Linked DNA regions of Macaca fascicularis. The protein of the gene in region 1 purifies or fractionates together with the protein of each later gene. This does not show direct contact. Links are inferred from orthologs where the notes say so. Each region holds a gene or a part of one and is shown on either strand. Other genes may lie near its edges. The genes, in order: RNF41 and MTCL2.

The links.
Region 2: the proteins of RNF41 (region 1) and MTCL2 purify together in Homo sapiens (affinity purification with mass spectrometry; 3 studies listed by BioGRID and IntAct, with this or other methods). This does not show direct contact. The link is inferred for Macaca fascicularis from reciprocal best matches to the Homo sapiens genes RNF41 and MTCL2.

The regions. Positions count from the first base shown.
Region 1 is NC_088385.1:62,991,010-63,000,840, forward strand, and holds the end of RNF41 (E3 ubiquitin-protein ligase NRDP1), read right to left. Parts: intron 8,061-9,831; coding exon 7,789-8,060; intron 5,462-7,788; coding exon 5,326-5,461; intron 4,913-5,325; coding exon 4,809-4,912; intron 3,646-4,808; coding exon 3,294-3,645; 3' UTR 1,342-3,293; downstream 1-1,341. UniProt on the Homo sapiens protein: Acts as E3 ubiquitin-protein ligase and regulates the degradation of target proteins. Polyubiquitinates MYD88. Negatively regulates MYD88-dependent production of pro-inflammatory cytokines.
Region 2 is NC_088384.1:92,976,527-92,987,798, reverse strand, and holds the start of MTCL2 (microtubule cross-linking factor 2), read left to right. Parts: upstream 1-4,499; 5' UTR 4,500-4,693; coding exon 4,694-5,380; intron 5,381-11,272. UniProt on the Homo sapiens protein: Microtubule-associated factor that enables integration of the centrosomal and Golgi-associated microtubules on the Golgi membrane, supporting directional migration. Preferentially acts on the perinuclear microtubules accumulated around the Golgi.

The DNA.
Region 1 (9,831 bases):
CCTAAAAGGACAATATGACACCATTCATAACATTCACAAGCATGAGCAGCAAGTTCTAAAAGTAATTTTAAAGGAGTTTAAGGGGGGAAAAGCACTGCTAATGTCACTAGGATACATACGCCTCTTATGCTCTATACTGTGACATGCTTATCAGTATTTTATAATCATACCTTGTGTGCATAGAATGCAGACTCCGTGAGCACAGAAATGCTTTTTTTTTTTTTTTCAAGCCGCTACAGTATCTAAAGTGCTATTAGGTTTACATTAGGTGCATGATAAATGCTCAACAAATTAAAACATATTTCTGGGAGGGGGAAAAGATCCTCTTTTTCTTTTTCTTTTTTTGAGACAGGCTCTTACTCTGTCACCCAGGCTGGAGTGCAGTGGCGCAATCTTGGCTCAAAGCAACCTCCACCTTCCAGGTTCAAGCTAGTCTTATACCTCAGCCTTCCAAGGATCTGGGATCACAGGGGCGTCCACCATGCCTGGCTATCCTTTTTCTTATGACAGGGAAAAGGTAGCAGCAAATACTTATGAAGACTGTTTTTTGTTTTTTTTTTTTGAGACGAAGTCTTGCTCTGTCACCCAGGCTGGAGTGCAGTGGCGCAATCTCGGTTCACTGCAAGCTCCACCTCCCAGGTTCACACCATTCTGCTTCAGCCTCCCGAGTAGCTGGGACTACAGGCGCCTGCCACCATGCCTGGCTAATTTTTTATATTTTTAGTAGAGACGAGGTTTCACCATGTTAGCCAGGGTGGTCTCGATCTCCTGACCTCATGATCCACCCGTCTCGGCCTTCCAAAGTGTTGGGATTACAGGTGTGAGCCACCGTGCCCGGTCTATGAAGACTATCTTTGTAAGTAAATAATTATGAAACCTCTGCAAGTACATTTCCCTCCTTACATTTACGTTCTTAGTTAGGAAACACTGGAGGGTGGAGGCTTCTCTGCCTGCAAAGGAATTCTAGATTCTAAAGCAAAGTTGCTTGTGGGACAAAGGAAAACAATATATACATATTTTCTGTAGAAATTATCCCAAAAACTCAGGACCACTCAGGGAAGACATGGAATTTAGGATGAAGGCAGACCCTGGGAAGCACACAGTTCAGATAACTAGAGAGACACCTTTGGCTGCTACAGAACAGGAGATAGGAGGGAAGAATGCAGGAGGGTACATGGGAAAGCAGCTGCGAAGTGCACACTACTCCCAGACATCCTCCTGAAAGAGAAGTTAGCGCTAAGATAAGGGTAGGTAACAAAGTAAGGAAGAAGGGGAATTAAGGTGAGAGAAAGGCAAAAGCAGAGGGGAAACCTTCCCAGGAAAGGGAGTAATGTTGAAGAATTTAGAGAGTTGAGTAAAAGGTTTATTATTAGTGCAGTCAACACCATGGAACAGCACATACAACACAACCAGCAACCCGCAGAGACACTAGTGCAAAGGGTAGGGAAGCCTTTCACTGAGCTTCCTGGCTCCATCTGAGGGTAAGGACAGGACAGTATAAGCCTTGGTAAGGCAGGTAGGGGAAAGGGGATTGGAAGAAATGTAGTAACCAGAATAAGTATAGCAGCGTTTTCAAATTCCTGAGCACAATGTCCCGGAGCTGGAACCCTACTCCCCTCAAGCTGTATCCCTCCACCCCAATCCCAGTGGAGCCATGATCCAACTACCCAGACCTGCAGCAAGCTAGCCTGGAATAAAACTCTGAGAGGAAGCTATCACATGGTGGGGAGGAGACTTTCTATCTCCAACCACACTCCCACCTCCATATTAAAATTATCACACCTACTATCCCTCCCCTTCTCTTACTTACTCTGCCAGTCACTCTAGGGATCAAGGTATGCCCCAGGTAACCTGAAATGGAACTGAAGTCCCCGGGGGGTGTGGGTGAGACACAGCACAGCCTGTACTTAGAGATAAAATTTCTGATTTGCATGGTGAAGCTTAGAACCCAGCTATACAGCTCCAAGAAAACTTGGGGAAGCGGGGGGTTGCCTTCAAAATGAATACTCTAAATCCAGAGTTTTATGATGAGGCCCTGGAAGGGCTAGGAGGAAATTTTTCCAGAGGGCACAGGCATCGATGCTGGACTGTCATATCCTTCACAGGAATAGAGGAAGCTCCTCATTTCAGTTGGGGTTACAGAGGTTTGGGGCAGATATTGTAAGTTCAGCCGAGGACTCCCTTGGCTCTTCCTATATTAAAGCCAAAGGTTGTGCTGAAAAGGAAAAAATATAAAACACACCCCCATCCCTGTCCCACCCTATCCAAAATCCCCACAATAGGAACATCAAAAGTTTCAAGTTTGATTTTTTTTCTTTTTTCCTTTCTTTAAAAAAAAAAAAAAAAAAGGTAAATAAATTAAATTGCCAACAATGTGGCTGAGATAGCCATGATCAGGCCATTCTTAAAAAAAAAGGGGGAAGGGGAGGGGAAGTAGGTGGAGTTTGTGAAATATAAACAATGGCCAAAGAAAATTATCAAAGTAACTAACTACAGTCACAGGGCTAGAGAGGGCTCTATGGAACAATTATGGCCTGTGCCACAAGAGGCAGTGCTGACCATATTTTAGCAAAAGCTAGGAGTAGCTTCTTGCTGAACACATCAACCCCAACAGACTAACCCCTACCCTAAACCCTGGCATTCCCTAATTATGAAAACTTATAGGAAAGAAGAGCTCATCTGGAAATTTTCAGTATCCCAACCTGCATACTGGTAGACCCAGTGGGTGCCTGCACCTTTAAGGTGGACTGAACAGGGATACTGCTTGGCACAGAGGTCCAGTCTTCCCCTAAGGGCCATCCGTGATGGCCAATTACTGGCCTCACTACTTATTTCTAGAGATTTGGCTCCACCCTTACCATTTCTTCAGGATGTCTGCTGCTTAGAGTCAACAGGCCTGCCTGCTCTGATTCCCTGGTTTTGGAGGAGAGGGACGACTAGAGATTCCTTACTCTGTCCTGACACTCCAGGGAAATTGAATCTCTTTGTGCTTTCTGAAAATAACTGGAACCAGGAACCCTAAGCAGGAAAATGGATGGAGGTGGGGGCTTTCCCACTCAGACTGACAATTTATAGACATTTTAGGGGAATATGGCAAAGGGAGGAAATCTGGGTTTCCCACCTGAAAGGCTGAGCAAACTACCCCAGGGCCCTTCAGTGCCAGAAGGGCAGTGAGATGTGTGGCTCAGGTATAAGCCACAGTATTAAGGATGGTGGAGAGGACTCAGGTCCCAGCTGCTGGAGTGATGGGATTTTCTGATTTCCATCTCTTCCTGATAGCTGGTCGGGTTCTCCTATATCTCTTCCACGCCATGAGCAAATATCATGACAAGGCCTGGCTCCTGCACCATGTCATCACCCATATGTTGGTTCTCACAGGCCATCACGACAACAGCCTGCTTGCCAGGGATGCGCTTGGCCACGTAGTTCTCATAGTAGCGTCGGTTCATCTGTCTAGTCTCTAGTGTGGCCAGACCCTGGGGCCAGCTACGCTCATGGGCATTTTCAATCAGCTCGTTGACAATAGAAGCAGGACAGCCACTCTCCACCAGGGAGCGCTTGATTACAGCCTGGAGCACGGCATCAGGAGTCGAGATCATCCCTCCCCAGCGGGTCACTCTTGCTGGCTGAAGGGAGTTCACCCACCTGTGTGGAGGTGGTTAAAGATGGTCATTCCAGATCATCTCCTTTCTCTGTATTGGCTTTTTCTGCTAATAGAAATAACTACCCACTCTGCACTCAGCTCACCTATTCTTCCTTCTTTCCTTCCATGATTGGCTCAGAAACCCCGAATTTTCCCCAGTTGGTCCCAACTGAGTCACCAAACGTTACTCACCAGATTAAATTCCACGAGTCTACACTCTGTCCCTGTTACTTTTCTTTGAAATTCCAATACTTAGCACATACAGCACCTAACACAGTTAGTGCTCTATGTTTAGTGAATAAAACAATTATTCCTCTATACTATGTCCCACTCAGCACTATTTGCCCTATATATATTGATTCACACTTACAGTTTAGTCTATGAACTGTATAGGACTCCAGAACTGAAAAAGATCTTAGACTTCGCTTGTATACTTCACTTGTTTTTGCTGCATTTTAGAGATCACTTTCCTGGACTTGCACTCTGCCTCCTCTTCTCTGGGTTGTAAGCTACCTGAAGACAGGGATAATATCTTCTATTTCTTTTTTTTTTTTTTGAGATGGAGTCTCACTCTGTTGCCCAGGCTGGAGTGCAGTGGCGCGATCTCGGCTCACTGCAAGCTCCGCCTCCCGGGTTCACGCCATTCTCCTGCCTCAGCCTCCGGAGTAGCTGGGACTGCAGGCGCCCATCACCACGCCCGGCTAATTTTTTTGTTTTTTTTTTCAGTAGAGACGGGGTTTCACTGTGTTAGCCAGGATGGTCTCGATCTCCTGACCTCGTGATCTACCCGCCTCAGCCTCCCAAAGTGCTGGGATTACAGGTGTGAGCCACCACGCCCGGCCTATCTTCTATTTCTTTTTGGCCCTCCTAGCACTCCACAGCCTTTAATACAGGGCTTTGTACATGGGTACTCACTTAATTCTGGATAAAGTGCATCCTTGGGTAGGCTTTCCCTTCCATCCACCCAAACGCGTAAGACATCCTGTAGTGGAGCTAAGGGTTATCCTCTTCTCCTCGGCCCCTGTCCTTAATGCCAATATCTGAGAAGCAGTGACCCCCCAGCCCAGCTCTCCAATGCCCTCCTTCTGCTACTCTCCTGCTCTTAGCGCCTTTCAGGCCTTACTGTCAGGACGTGGAATCACTCCATGTCCTGAGTGACACTCACTCTAGGATCTCGTTGTATTCAATTGTCTCCTCCAGGTTCTGAAGGTTGGGGTTGACACTGCGGATTGCACGCATGTATGCCTTTAGCAGCTGGATGTCTCGCTTCTGTTGTGGAGAAGAAGAACAGGAATAATGGTTAAGGCAGACAGCAGAAAAAAGACAAAAGTTTATCCGAGAATGAGGACAACTGAGAGATCTGAAGAACAACCAGTTTGTAAGCTTCAGGAAGACAGGGATAGGACTGTCTCACTCACAGCTGCCTCCTTAGTACTTACAAAATGTGCCTTCACAGAGGAGGCATCTGGTAACTGTTAGGTGAATGAATGCTATGAATGGGATGAAGGAAAGTCAAGGAGAGCTCCAATCTGATTCCCTGCTAAGCCACAGGCAGAATAGCCACTCATCCAAACTCACAAGTGTAAGCACAGGTCTATGTGTTCACAACTGGTTTTATTACCCACAGGCAGGCAGTTATCTGCATATGAGGGATATGTTCTCCCCCGTGTCTTGGGGCCTACCTGCTCCGCCAGCTGGTGTTTGTGTTCAGCTGACGTCTTCTCCAGCTCTGCGATGCGTGTCTGCTGCTGCTGTACCACTGAGCGCAGGTGCTTAATGCAGTTATGGTTGGGCAGCTCATCTTTGGGCATCTCCAGGCTGCAGACCAGGGTGGGGAAAGAGCAGAACAGGGGTGATCACCAGGACATGTATGCAAATGGCCTATTCTGTGGCAGATAACTGCTGAGTAGATTTTGTCCTACCCAAAATTTCTAACATTCATTTCAGGCCTCCCTCATTCATTCCCTTCACTTTCTTCTTCCAAGCTTCCTACTTGCCCCTTTGCTGTCTATTTTCCTTAAATTTCTTTCCCCAATCAAGACACAGTGTTTTATCTACTTTTTATATTTATTTTATCTTATTTTATTTTTTATCTTTTTTTTTTTTTTGACATGGAGTTTCGCTCTTGTTGCGCAAACTGGAGTGCAATGGCACGATCTCAGCTCAGCACAACCTCTGCCTCCCAGGTTCAAGCGATTTCTCCTGCCTTAGCCTCCCGGGTAGCTGGGATTACAGGCGTGCGCCACCATGCCCAGCTAACTTTTTGTATTTTTAGTAGAAACGGGTTTCCCCATGTTAGCCAGGCTGGTCTCAAACTCTTGGCCTCATGTGATCTGCACTGCCTTGGCCTCCCAAAGTGCTGGGATTACAGGTGTGAGCCACTGTGCCTGGCCTCTTATTTTACTTTTTTTTTTTTGAGACCAGGTTTCACTCTTGTTGCCCAGGTTGGAGTGTAATGGCACAGTCTTGGCTCACTGCAACCTCTGCCTCATGGGGTTCAAGCAATTCTTGTGCCTCAGCCTCCTGAGCAGCTGGGATTACAGGTGCCCGCCATGACGCCTGGCTAATTTTTGTATTTTTAGTAGAGACAGGGTTTCACCATGTTGGCTACACTGGTCTTGAACTCCTGACCTCAGGTGATCCACCCGCCTCAGCCTCCCAAGTGCTGGGATTATAGGCGTGAGCCACCGCACTGGGACTATTTATTTATTTTGACACACTGTTTTTATCTACTGCACAGCTCTCCTTTTCCTCCTACAGATTCTGCCTGTGCACTTATTGCTTCAGAGAAGCCCTATATTCACAGCCCCAGCTATCAACATTCTTTTTATTTCTTAGTTAGTTAGTTAGGGGGAACAGAGTCCAGCCCAGGCTGGAGTGCAATGGTGTGATCTCAGCTCACTGCAACCTCTACCTCCTGGTTTTAAGCGATTCTCATGCCTCAGCCTCCCAAGTAGCTGGGATTACAGGCATGCACCACCACACCTGGCTAATTTTTTTTTTTTTTTTTGAGACAGAGTCTTGCTCTGTTGCTTAGGCTACAGTGCAGTGGCGTGATCTCGGCTCACTGCAAGCTCCTCCTCCCTGGTTCACGCCATTCTCCTGCCTCAGTCTCCCAAGTAGCTTTCCCCTACAGGCGCCTGCCACCACACCTGGCTAATTTTTTGTATTTTTGTAGAGATGGGGTTTCACCGTGTTAGCCAGGATGGTCTCAATCTCCTGACCTCATGATCTGCCTGCCTTGGCCTCCCAAAGTGCTGGGATTACAGGCGTGAGCCACCACACCCGGCCCCACACCTGGCTAATTTTTGTATTTTTATTTTTATTTATTTATTTATTTATTTTTTGAGACAGAGTCTCGCTCTGTTGCCCAGGCTGGAGTGCAGTGGCGCGATCTCGGCTCACTGCAAGCTCCGCCTCCCGGGTTCATGCCATTCTCCTGCCTCAGCCTCCTGAGTAGCTGGGACTACAGGCGCCCGCCACCGCGCCCGGCTAATTTTTTGTATTTTTAGTAGAGACGGGGTTTCACCGTGGTCTCGATCTCCTGACCTTGTGATCCGCCCGCCTCGGCCTCCCAAAGTGCTGGGATTACAGGCGTGAGCCACCGCGCCCGGCAATTTTTATATTTTTAATAGAGACTAGGTTTTGCCATGTTGGCCAGGTTAGTCTTGAACTCCTGGCCTGAAGTGACCTGCCCACTTTGGCCTCCCAAAGTGCTAGGATTACAGGTGTGAGCTAACACACCCCTCAGCTATCAACATTTAGTCAAATATTTCATAACTCACAGAAAGAAAAAATAGGGTCAGAGGAAATATGAGAAGGCTGGCAATTACAGCAGTCAAACTGACAAACAGAAAGTAGTATTGGACTGAAAGGGAAGAACAGAGTCAATCAACCTTTAGTGTTATTATACAAATTTACTGAATTGCTGTGCCCCTTCTTTTGTTAAAGCAAGAGCAAAATTATTATAGTTGGAAAAGCAGCAAGAAAGTCAGATCTTAGAGCAGGGAGCCAAGGAGGCTAAGAATACTCCTTGCCAACATGCCTAAGAGACCTCCTCAGCTAGTGAGGAGGGCATCCAGCGATAGGGGCATAAATGAGATGGCCCTTATCCATGTGGGGCAGAAGAAGGGAACAGATCTCACCCACAGCCCTGTTCACAGGTCACAGGCCGTTTCGGGTTGTGCTCACAGTCGCTGAGGTGAGACATGAGGTTGTCAAGCCGGACAACGGCACTACAGCCAAACACAGCGTTGTCACAGGCAATCTGCAGCTTTGACAGCATGTTCCGCATGATCCGAGGTACCGGGCGCAGATGGGCGACCGTCACAACACTACGGTCCACTGGACATGTCTGTTGCTGAGAGAACCACTGGGTGATGCAGGCGTTGCAGAAAGCATGTTCACAATGAGGTGCCTAGGAGAACAAGGCAAAAGGGGCATAAGGGAATTAGCAGGACCTAAGAGCCTGGATATGATAACTCTACAAAGCCAATCATGCCTTTGAGCAGCTTCTACCGCAAGAGGTCCGTTGGGTCAAGCAAAGTATAGATCTACTATGGGCAAGGCATTGTAGGGGACAGGCTTAAGATATGTTTCCTGCTGGGCACGGTGGCTCATGCCTATAATCCCAGCACTTTGGGAGGCTAAGGTAGGCACACTGTTTGACCTCAGGAGTTTGAGACCATCCCAGACAACATGACAAAACCCCATCTCTACAAAAGTTACAAAAATTAGCCGGGTGTAGGCCAGGCGCAGTGGCTCATGCCTGTAATCCCAGCACTTTGGGAGGCCAAGGCAGGCGGACCACGAGGTCAGGAGTTCAAGACCAGCCTGACCAACATGGTGAAACCCTGTCTCTACTAAAAATACAAAAAAATTAGCCAGGGGTGGTGGTGCACACCTATAATCACAGATACTCAGGAGGCTAAGGCAGAAAAATCACTTGAACCCAGGAGGTGGAGATTGCAGTGAGCCAAGACTGCACCACTGCACTCCAGCCTGGGCAAAAGAATAAGACTCCATCTCAAAAAAAAAAAAAAAAAATTAGCTGGGCATGGTGGCACGTGCCTATAGTCCCAGCTAGCCAGAAGGCTGAGGTGGGAGGACGGAGGGTGGCTTGAGCCCAGGAGGCGGAGGTTGCAGTGAACCAAGACTGCACCACTGCACTCCAGCCTGGGTGACAGAGCCAGGACCTGTTTCAAAAAATATATATCTATGTTCCCTGTGCTCAAGATTAAAAATGAGTTGTGAAACAAGACAAACAAGTAAAATGTTATATAACAATAAGAGATATAAATGATATTCCAGGACAATAGGACAGATGACACAAGGCAGCCAATTATTAATTGCCATCTGGATTGCACACACAATAATTGCCAAAAATGTCCAGAGGAGGGTGAAGTCTTTTCAGGCTAGCTCAATCACGGCAGGTATTTATGAAGAGGACCAAATTTGATATGGTCTTGAAGGATAATTCAGATGATAGATTTAGAGAGCAGGAGAACATATTTACTGGCAAAAATTCAACGTCAGAAAGCTAGGCCAGGCGTGGCGGCTCACGCCTGTAATCCCAGCACTTTGGAAGGCTGAGGCGGGCGGATCACGAGGTCAGGAAATTGAGACCATCCTGGCTAACACAGTGAAACCCCGTCTTTACTAAAAATACAAAAAATTAGCCAGGCGTGGTGGCAGGCGCCTGTAGTCGCAGCTACTCGGGAGGCTGAGGCAGGAGAATGGCATGAACCTGGGAGGTGGAGCTTGCAGTGAGCCAAGATCATGCCACTGCACTCCAGCCTGGGCTAAAGTGCGAGACTCCATCTCAAAAAAAACAAAACAAAACAAAAAGAAAGCTAAATAAGGCCGGGCACAGTGGCTCATGCCTGTGATCCCAGCACTTTGGGAAGCTGAGGCAGCCAGATCACTTGAGGTCAGGAGTTTGAGACCAGACTGGCCAACATGGTGAAACCCCCATCTCTACTAAAATTACAAAAATTAGCCACACATGGTGGTGCGCCCCTGTAATCCCAGTTACTCGGGAAGCTGAGGCACAAGAATTGCTTGAACCCGGGAGGCGGAAGTTGCAGTGAGCCAAGATCGCGCCATTGCACTCCAGCTTGGGTGATAGAGCAAGATTCTGTCTCAAAACAAAACAAAACACTTTAGTTTCCCATTACATTTTTTTTTTT
Region 2 (11,272 bases), on another chromosome or scaffold:
ACACGGTGAAATCCCGTCTCTAAATTGGCCGGACGTGGTGGCGGGCACCTGTAATCCCAGCTACTTGGGAGGCTGAGGCAGGAGAATGGCGTGAACCTGGGAGGCAGAGTTTACAGTGAGCCAAGATTGCACCACTGTACTCTAGCGTGGGCGACAGAGCGAGACTCTGTCTCAAAAAAAAAAAAAAGAATAATTCAGTTTAAAGGCTGCCTCCTAGCTGGGTGCAGTGGCTCACACCTGTAATCCCAGCACTTTGGGAGGCCAAGGTGGGCTGATCACGAGGTCAGGATATCCAGACCATCCTGACCAACATGGTGAAACCCCATCTCTACTAAAAATACAAAAATTAGCTGGGCGTGGCGGCTCATGCCTGTAATCCCAGCTACTAGGGAGGCTGAGGCAGGAGAATCGCTTGAACCCAGGAGGCAGAGGTTGCAGTGAGCTGAGATTGCGCCACTGCACTCCAGCCTGGCAACAGAGCTAGACTCCATCTCAAAAAAAAAAAGGCTGCCTCCTCCAAGAGGCCTTCCTGACTCCCCTGTTTAAAGAGGTTTCCTGACCAGTTCCTCTAATTCTCCCATAGCCAGAGTTGCTTGTTTCTTTCATTTGTATAGTGAAAAAAAAAAAAAAAAAGAAAACAAAGAAAACAAAACAACTTTTGTCTAAAAGAAAAAAACACACCTCCTCTTGGAAACTTTCCAGGAGTGAGTCTCCATTCAGTTTTCATCACGTTGGTCAATTTAGCAGCTTGAATGGGAGAAATGAAACCTTTTTTCCACTTGGGTAATCAGCATCTTCACTTCTTATGTTGTATAATTCTTACAATGTAATGCTTCAGTCTTTTTTGAGTAGAGCTTTCTGCAGCACACACTATGTGCCTGCACTGGGCACTTCGCAGCCCAATTGGGTACCACAACAGGCTCTGGAATCAGGCAGTCCTGGGTTCAAGTCAATCCCGGCCCTTCTACTTCTGAGCTGTATAAGTATTGGTCATGCATTCCTGCTACCCAGTGCTACGTAACAAATGACCCCAAAACTTAGTGGCTGAAACAACAATATTTATTTTGCAGTTTGGGCGGGGTTGGTGAAACAGTTCATTTCTGCTCTACTTGTCCACTGGGGTGGCTCCAAGCCTGGGGGCTGAATCATCTACAGGCTCACTCTCTCACATGTCTGGTGGTTAGTGGGGACCAGAGCTGGAGTTGTTGGCTAGATCACCTTCGTGCGGTCTCCACATGAGGCCTGGGCTTCCTCCCATCATGGTGGGTGAGTGGCCAGAGAGAGGGAGAGAGAGAAAGAGAGAGAGAAACAAGCTGGGTGGAATCATGTTGCTTTTTATGACCTAACGTTGGAAGTCACAGATGAACACTTCTGCCATACTCTGTTGGTTGAGGCAGTCACAAGATCTGCTGAGATTCAAGGTGGGGGCACACAGACCGTGCTGCTCAATCGGAGGAGCATCAGTGACACATTGTAAGAAAAGCAACCGGGATGAGATACACCCTTTGGAAAATATTAATCAGCTACAAGAAGTATCTTCACCTTTTGGAGATCCTTTACTGAAATGTGGAGCATAGAGCCCGGCACGCAGAGAGAGGCCATATGTCACACAGCTGCAGGATGTGCTGGCAGCAAGGACGGTCACCCTGTCTACAATGTAGCCAGTTCTGGACTCTCAATAAGTCTCATCTCCTTTGTGGTATCCCTGGTCTGAACTGACCCTGAGTCCAGAGTCCCTACATCAGCCCCACCTAAACCCTCCCCACCAGGGCCCTGTTGTTCTCAAGGCTTCCCTGGGTCTGCAATATAGATTCTTGACTCCCCAAATCCAAAGAACATCACAGCAGGTGGGAGTCACAGGCCCCTTCCTGGCCAGCCATGAGTGTTGGGCCCAGAGAGGATACATGGTAGAGCCAGGACTCAGATCCCCGCCCTAGTAGAGAGATGCAGGCCACTTTAATCTCAGGACCACTGATGTGACCAAGGATGTGTCAGGAGTGGCTGAGCCAGCCTGGTCTGCTATGTCCCTGCATTCACACCACCCAACACCTCCAAGTCCATGTTCTGCATAGTGGGAGAAACTGAAGCATAGAGAGAGGACACGCTTTCCAAGAGCTTCACAGCACGTTTCTGTGCCAGACTAGATGCAGCCTGCTAGAGCCAGGGGCATCTGAGCTGGACGGATCCCGTCATCTGTTGCATTAGACCAGAGCAGCTGGGGACTCTGAGGCCCGGAATGTGGGAAGGCCTGCCCTGGGTCACTAGCCTGCGGCTCCCACATCCTTCTCCAACACTCCTGCCCCCCATGCCGTGCCATGCCACCCTGTTTGTGCTGAGTCTTTTGTGGTCCCCCACACACACTGTGTGCTCCACGAGGTCAGGCACTGACACGCCCACCACTGCGTCCCTCAGTGTACCTGGCGCCTGTGCAAACAGGGTTTGTGGACAGTCAGTGGGGGGTGAGGCGAGTTGGTGTCTTGCCAGGAAGGGTGGGGATGCCCCTGCGGAAGTATTTGCCAAGAGCCTGCTGAGTGCCCGCTCCTCACTTGGCCGCGTGGAGGGCACTTAGCGTTGGGGTGGAGGAGCAGTCACACGCCTGGATCCAGATGGAGTCACGCCTCTGGAGAGAGGGGATGCCCCAGGAGTGTATTCACTGCGTGTGGGGGAGGTGGGACAGAGACAAAGAAGTGGACCTGGTGCCTGCTGTGTCACAGGCAGGTGCAGAGGTGAAGGAAGGGGATTGGGGGAGGAAGAAGGAGAAAATGGGCAGGAGGAAGAAGAGGGGAAAGAGGAGGAAAAGGAAGACTTGGAAAAGGAGGGGGGAAGGAAGGGGAAAGGTGGGAGAAGAAGGAGGAAAATAGAGCAGGGGATAAATGGGAGGGGGAGAAGGGAACAGGAGGAGGAAGAGGCTGCAGAGGGGCAAAAACAGTCCTGCCCTCCTGGTGGCAAGGGGTGTGGGGCGTCTTGAGGCCGAGGGTCCATCTGTGGGGCAAAGGACTCAATCCAGCTCTGCCCTGCGGTGGCTCAGGGATGGGGCACAGCAGCCAGGTGGCGTGGGGGCTGGGGAAGGTGTGAGAGACACGGGAAAATCAACACGGCCAGGAGCCAAGGAGACGCCCAGACGCCCGGGAGGAAAGAAAACACACCCACCAGAGCTCAAGTCCTCCTGCGATGCTCCTGGTGGGGACATGTGGGGTCAGGGCAACCGTCCCAGCCCATGCCAGCCCCCACCGGGGCCAAAACCGCCTTCCAAAGCATCCGCTAGGCTGACATCTCGTAATGGGTCGCCTCCATTTTATTTTTGCATTTATTTATTTATTTATTTTTTTGAGATGGAGTCTAGCTCTGTCATACAGCCTGGAGTGCAATGGCGCGATCTCGGCTCACTGCAACCTCTGCCTCGCAGGTTCAAGCGATTCTCCTGACTCAGCTTCCCGAGTACCTGGGATTACAGGCATCCCCACCACGCCCGGCTAATTTTGTATTTTTAGTAGAGACGGGGTTTCACCATGTTGGTCAGGCTGGTCTCGAACTCCTGACCTCGTGATCCGCCCGCCTCGGCCTCCCAAAGTGCTGGGATTACAGGCATGAGCCACCGCGCCCGGCCACAGGTCGCTTCCATTTTAGCCTTACATAGCCTGAAACCCGGGTCGGGGGGCGCATGGGGAGTAATCTTCGCCGGTCAAGGTGCGCGAGCCAGACATGCACGCAGGGCTCCACGGTCCCTACCCCAGGGGAGGCAAGCTGAGGCAGGGGGAGCCCGAGCGCGCCCGGGAGGTGTGAGCTTTGGGTTCCATCGGCACCGTCTAGACCGTGAGCTTGGCGCGTGCACCCCGGGCTTCAGTTTACGCATCTGTGCGATGGGATCGCTGCTCCGGCGGTGCCGGCTGAGGGGGCGGAGTTCGCGCACGCTCTGCACCGGGCGAGGGGCGAGGCGCGCTGGGTGTGCATGGATACGGGCTCCTGCGAACTGAGGTCCGCGCGGCCTCGGCCCGGGAGTCCCGGCTCCCGCCGCTCTCGCGGGCCCTGCCCGGACGCCGGGCGCAGGGGCGCCTCCGCCGGGTGCGTTCCCCGGGCGGGCAGGGAAGGAGGCGGCGGAGCGGAGGAGGAGGGAGCCCGGGCAGCGGCTGCCCGCGCCCGCCTGACCCTCGAGGGGGTCGCTGTTGCCTCGCAGATCCCTCCCTCGCTCCCTGCTTGCGTCCCTCCCTCGCTCCCTGCTTGCGTCCCTCCCTGCCGCTCTCGCCGCGTCCGCCTTTTGTTCGTGGAACCGCGCGCCCCCGAGCCGAGGCGGCGGGGCGGGGAGCTGGCGGGGCTGCGCGGGGGGCGGGCCGCGCCGGGCGGAGCCGGGGCCCGGGCCGCAGCCGGACTCGGAGCCCGAGGGAGCGATCGGCGTGCGGGCGGCGGGGGCCCGGGCGCGCTCCGGGGGCGCGGCGAGGCCGAGGGGGCGGGCGCCGGGCGGAGCCGCAGCCGGAGCCGGGGCGCCTGGAGGCGGTCGGGCCGCACTCTCCGAGCCCAGAGCAGCGGAGAGACCGCGCGGCGGGGCTTGGGGCGGAGACGCGGTGTCGGGGCCGAGGTGGGCCGAGAGCAGCCGCAGGCCGAGCGGCCGGAGCCGCGCCGGGTCCCTCCCCAGGGACGTCGAGGCCGGGCGGGCCTGGGCCATGCGCGCAGCTCGCTGAGGCCGAGGGAGGCCGCGATGGAGGCGCCGGCGACCGAGCCCCCGGTCCGGGGCTGCGGTCCCCAGCCCGCGCCCGCACCCGCGCCCGCCCCGGAGAGGAAAAAGAGCCACCGCGCGCCGTCGCCGGCCCGGCCCAAAGACGTGGCCGGCTGGTCGCTGGCTAAGGGCCGCCGCGGCCCAGGCCCGGGCGCAGCCGTCGCCTGCAGCGCCGCGTCCTCCGCACGGCCGGACAAGAAGGGGCGCGCAGTGGCGCCCGGGGCACGGGGCGCGGGGGCGCGGGTGGCTGGGGTCCGCACCGGGGTCCGTGCCAAGGGCCGTCCGCGGCCGGGTGCGGGGCCGCGACCGCCACCGCCACCTCCCAGCCTCACGGATAGCAGCTCAGAGGTGTCGGACTGCGCGTCGGAGGAAGCGCGCCTGCTGGGCCTGGAGCTGGCGCTGAGCAGCGACGCCGAGTCCGCGGCCGGAGGCCCTGCGGGGGTCCGCACAGGGCAGCCGGCCCAGCCGGCGCCTTCGGCGCAGCAGCCCCCGCGGCCGCCCGCCTCCCCGGACGAGCCGTCGGTGGCTGCGTCGTCGGTGGGCAGCAGCCGCCTGCCGCTCAGCGCCTCGCTCGCCTTCTCCGACCTCACCGAGGAGATGCTGGACTGCGGGCCCGGCGGTTTGGTGCGGGAGCTGGAGGAGCTGCGCTCGGAGAACGACTATCTCAAGGTGGGGGCGCCCGGGGGAAAGGGGGACCGCGGGGGGCACCGGCTGTCACAGTCCCGCGGGCCTGAGGCACCAGCCGGCCCTCCTTCCCACTGAAGAATCCGGAGAAAGAGGCCCAAGCCCTGGGGACCACTCTGAGGTGGATCTGGGGCTCCCTCATTCCCCACCGCCTCAACTTTATTTGGGAAGCATGCTCCTGAAAAAGACCTTGGAACTGGCCACAGGGCCCTAACCTGGGAGCGGGGACTTGAGAAAACAGCTTTGGAGCGTTCTGGGGGGCGTTGCTGGGCTGGGGGTGGGTAGGCAGGGAAGGGATGGATCTCTGCCTTCAGCTGCCCAGAACCTCCACGCCCAGGCTCTCCTTCCTGGGACAAGATTGGTGGGCACCACCGCCAGGGAAGCCTGTGGCCATCCCCTGCCCAGGAGAGGCCTGAATGCCACCCTGAGTCGTTACCCAGGGCTTTCCCGGGCGCAGGCCTGTCTCTGCCTGCCTTTCTGGGCGGGTCCAGTTTGAAAGCATGACATCTGGGAACATCCCCTTGGCTGGAGTCCACTTCCGCCCAGCCTAACGGTCCCACAGCCTGGAGGATGATGTCGTGGGAGAACCGGTTCAGAGGCAGCTTCCTAAATCCCAGGGCTGTGTTTTGCCCTCCCTGGGGCAGACCTTGTGCACACAGCAGCTCCACTGGCCCCTCGTGGCCAGTGCCTTTCCATGTTCCCAGTGAGAGGAGGGTAGCTGCCCACCTGGAAGGGGCCTTCCCTGTGGCCATGTGGGGACCCCAGGGCTTCCCCCGGACAGCAGGCTTTGCCTTTGCTTTTTCAGTGGATGTGAGCACCTACTGGGTGCCGGCCAGGCTCCATCTGCGCGCTTCCTGGTGCTGTGGCAACTTTAGGGACAGCCCAGCTTGCACGTGTTGACCTCTCCCTGGGAGGCTAGAAGCTTCCTGAGCTCTCCTGCCACTGGCTGGGCACGGTTTTGGAGGAGGCTGAAATGTTGCCGACTCTTGACAGTGAATGGCCTGGCACAACACCCAGAGTGCCCCTGGCCGTGGCGCTCACAGCATGCTGCTGATTTATGTCTGCCCTGCAGCACTTAGCTTTTAACTTTTCCTTGTGGCTATTCTGGCCAAATGGGCTTCTCCCTCATTAGAGTGTTGGTGTCTTGCTCAACTGTGTCTCTGTCTCCCCATTTTCCCCGGGATCTGCTCTCCAGCTTGAGTTCTGTAAATGCTTGTAGTGTGGAAGGACAAGGTCTGTCTGAATCAAGAGACACCGTTCCCCAAGCCAGGCCTCAGTCTCCTCATCTGTTAAATGGGAGGATGTCTTCCCAAGGGCCTGGTTCGGTGTTGGCAACTGGGAGTTCAGTCGGCTCTTAGAGTCTTCAGAAGCTGGTGGTAAGGAGAGGGCAAGTGGAAGGTGAGGAGGAAGAGGGAGGCGACCAGCCAGGACAAGGGTCTTTTGCTCCTGCCCTCTTGGTGCTCTGAGCTGCTTCCAGTGAGTGCTGCCTGAATTGGCGTTAACCGAAACTCTGAGCTCCTCACCCCTGCCTCCCAGTTCCTGCTACTCACTCTGGTGAGGGGGGGATGGGTTGCAGAGCTTTGCTTCAGGGCTCCTAGGCACCCATCCCCATGGGCTCCTCTCCGTCCCAGGAAGTCATCAGGCTCCGACCCAAAGTCCATTTGAGGCACCCATGACTGTTTAAAGGGGAAAACAATCCCAGGAGGCTGGGGGTTGAGCCCGGGATCTCACAGGGGCCAGGGCCCAGCTGGGGACATCCCACATCTGGGCCAGCATGGAGCCATAATTTCCACTGTTCATTCAGTGGCTCAGGCTTCATGCTGCTGTTGGGTCTGGGGTCTGTCGCTTCCTGACTGCCTGATCTTTGGCAAGTTACTTAACAGCCCTGGACCTTAGATTTCTCATTTGTAAAAATGGGACAGTAACAAACGCTTTCCAACCTCAAGGGTTAAATGAGCTGATGCCTGCAAACGCCATTAGAGCACCTGGTATGTAGTAAGCCTCCGATCACTGCTCTTGTCAGTGGCATGGGACACGTTTCCATGTGCACCCAGCCTGTTCTCTTGTGGGTTCTGTGAGGGCAGAGTAGATCCTCTTCATCGCCTAAGGCAGGCTGGGCTCTTCCTCCCGGCCCCTCCTTGGTTCATTCGCCCGCTGTTTATTTAGAACCTGCTGTGTGCCAGCACAGATCTGGGATACAGCCGTGGACGAGAGAGGGTGAGGTGTCTGTTTTCGTAGAGCTTTGGGGGAGACCGGAATTAAACAATAGTCATACAAGAAATCACAACACAGATCATAATGAGGGTGAAGGGGACAGTTTGCCAGGAGCACACAAAGGTTGGGGCTGAGGTAAGAAGATTTCAGGCTGAGGGAAATTGGAAAGAGCTTGTTGAGTTCAAGAACAGCGCTGAGGCCAGAGAGGGGAAGGAGTGTGGGTGAGAGAGGAGAGCAAGGCCAGCCCATGCCACTTCTCACTGTGTATACATTTGGGTTAGCCCCTTAACTTGTCTGGATATCTGTGTATCCCAGCCGCCAGCCTCACAGAGGCAGGGTCAAAATCCAGAGATTGAACGTGGACCACAGAGGGGTTATTACTGGAGGTGTTGTTTTGTTTATTCCACAGATGGGAAAACTGTGGCCAGAGTGGGGAAGAGACTTGCTCCGGGTCCCAGAGCCGGGAATCTAGGCTGCCAGGGCTTGGAGTAAGCGTGTGTTAGACTCTTTTTTTTTTTGAGACGGAATTTCACTCTTGTTGCCCAGGCTAGAGTGCAATGGTGCACTCTCGGCTCACAGCAACCTCCGCCTCCTGGGTTTAAGCCTTTCTCCTGCCTCAGCCTCCGGAGTAGCTGGGATTACAGGCACGTGCCACCACGCCTGGCTAATTTTGTATTTTTAGTAGAGATGGGGTTTCTCCATGTTGGTCAGGCTGGTCTTGAACTCTGGACCTCAGGTGATCTACCTGCCTCGGCCTCCCAAAGTGCTGCGATTACAGGCGTGAGCCACCGCGCCCGGCAGCATGTGTTAGACTTGTTTTTTTTTTTTTTTGAGACGGAGTCTCTGTCGCCCAGGCTGGAGTGCAGTGGCCGGATCGCCGCTCACCGCAAGCTCCGCCTCCCGGGTTTACACCATTCTCCGGCCTCACCCTCCCGAGTAGCTGGGACTACAGGCGCCCGCCACCTTGCCCGGCTAGTTTTTTGTATTTTTCAGTAGAGACGGGGTTTCACCGTGTTAGCCAGGATGGTCTCGATCTCCTGACCTCGTGATCCGCCCGTCTCGGCCTCCCAAAGTGCTGGGATTACAGGCTTGTTAGACTCGATGTGTTTTCTGCCTTTCTGGACTACTTTGCCTCTAAGATGCGGAAACTGAGTACAAGGGAAAGGACTCCAAATCCCCAGAATGTCCCCTGCAGGAGCAGAGTTGAAGGAGGTCCCACCACGTCTGGTGGATGGCCCTGCTCAGGCTTACCTCCCCCTTGTAGGGGTCACTGGGAACTGTCTATTGGGAAGGACTCTTGGGTGATCTCCAGTCTGGTGTGGCCTGCTCTGGGGCCCAAGTGAGGAAAGCATAAATTGGGCAGCTGTCTCCCAGTGAGAAGATAGAAGGAGCTTCTACAGAGAAGGTAGTGAGCTTACTGTCACTTTAATTATTCAGAAAGAGGCCAGATGACCTTTCATGCTTGGATAAAGACAGAGGGTTTGTGGAATGATTGCTTGAGGAGGGTTCAGAGGGAGATTGATGTGGTGGCTGCAGCTGAGCTGCCTGACCTTGGGTCCCTTCTAGCCAAGGAAGTCTGAAGGTTATTAACTACTGAGGTTCCAGGATGCTAAGATGCAGCTTTAGCTGCAGAGCAGACACGTCACCTGTGACCTTCAAAGACCCGGTGATCTGAGGTCTTCCAGCCTTTCATCACCACTAACCGTTAAGCATGTACCATGTGACCAGGACATGTAGGAACCCACTGGGTGTGGATGGAGGAGTCTGAGAGTTGGAGCCTGAAGACCTGACTTTGAAACCTGACTCTCCCATTTACTGTGTGGCCATGGGCAAGTTACCTGGCTTCTCTGAGCTGCTTTTTTTCTCATCTATATAATAAAGGTGATGGGGCCTGGCGCGGTGACTCATGCCTGTAATGCCAGCATTTTGGGAGGCCGAGGCGAGCGGATCATCTGAGGTCAGGAGCTCAAAACCAGGCTGGCCAACATGGTGAAACCCCATCTCTACTAAAAATACAACAATTACCCAGGCGTGGTGGCACGCGCCTGTAATCCCAGCTACTCAGGAGGCTGAGGCAGGAGAATCACTTGACCGTGGGAGGCGGAGGTTGCAGTGAGCTGAGATCGCGCCACTGCACTGTAGCCTGGGAAACAGAGTGAAACTCTGTCTTAAAAAAAAAAATAAGTAAAGGTGATGGAACCTGCCCGGACAATCTCATATGATTGTCATCAGGAATCAGGGAAGTATGAATAGACAAGAAAACATTTTGCTAGCAGTGAAATCCCAAGTCACCTGAGGAATTGTTGTTATTCATAGCCAATGGGCAGACAGGAGGTCTGTGTCTGCATTCTTGGAGGAACTGGGAGAATGCAGGAGGGTGGATTTCCTTAGTTTTAGAATGTTGATACATCAGTAGCTGTCCCAAGGAGGATGGGAAGGTGTGATCACCTTCCCTGCCGTGTGTGTGGGCTCCCTCCTGGGTGATTCTAGATGTGAGTGTTTGAAGTGCAGCCAGTCTAGGTGTCAGCTCAGAAGGGCCTGGAGGAAGCACCTAATCCATCCCCGCTTGCCATTTTACAGATCAGTAAATGGAGGCTCTAAGTTACATAACCAGGATTCCAACCAGGTTGGTCTAACTCTGGGCCTGTTCTTTCTGCAGTGTGACCAGAGCAGTGAGCTTTTGGTTGCTAACTAGCGTGTCTAGGCTGGGACACAGGTTGGTGAGAGGAATCCTGTCATGGACCAGGCTCTAGGCTAAGGCATGCTGGGGGCCCGGAGCCTGGGGGAGGTGGGGGTTAGTGGAGGACGTTTGTGTGTGCACACGTGTGAGATTGTTCCTTCTTCTGTAACATGGGGGACAAGCATGCCCACCCGGGGCCGTGAGGACCCTTTTCAGTGTGAGGATGCAGATAGAGTGCACAGTGAATGTTAGTGTCCTTCCCAGTCATTGCCGTTCCCTTGTCTGTTTCTCCAGGCATTCATTCATTCATTCAACACATATTTCCCCAGTGGGTCCGGGGTACCAGGCCCTGTGCTGGGTGTCTGGACTCAGTGACCACGTAGTAGGCTTCTGCATGTAGCTCTTCTCTTCTCGGCTCCCAGGAGCTACAGGGGAGGACTCCAGTCTGTCACTGGGTGGAGGAGACAAGGTTACCACAGTCAGCAAAACTCTTGGCTGCTCCCTATCCTGAGGCCCAGCCTCAGCCTCCCAGGGGCCGAGCCTGTGTCCCTGGGCACACTCTCTCTTGTATATACAAATGCACATATATGTATTCACAGCTCAAGCTCAGAGACACACAACCACTGGCACATGTCTCACAGACCCATCCAGTGACTCGCTGGTGTTGGATGCTTTCGGAAGCACGCTTCCAGACATATTAGAGAGGATGCTCACTCAGAGAAGTGCACACACCCAAGCAGCTACACAACTCCCGTTCCATCACACCCACGCATCACCACACAGACACAATGGAGGCTGAGACCCTGTTGCAACCCCCAGGTCAGAAACACATCCTCATATACACGTCTTACACCCCCAGACACACCCGGATATGCCCCAGAGACTGACATCCTGCAGACACACTCAGACTCATCAGAAGTACACATGAAGGCGGGGATACAAACCCACGCAGACATTATACACACACACTAGCATCCACGGAA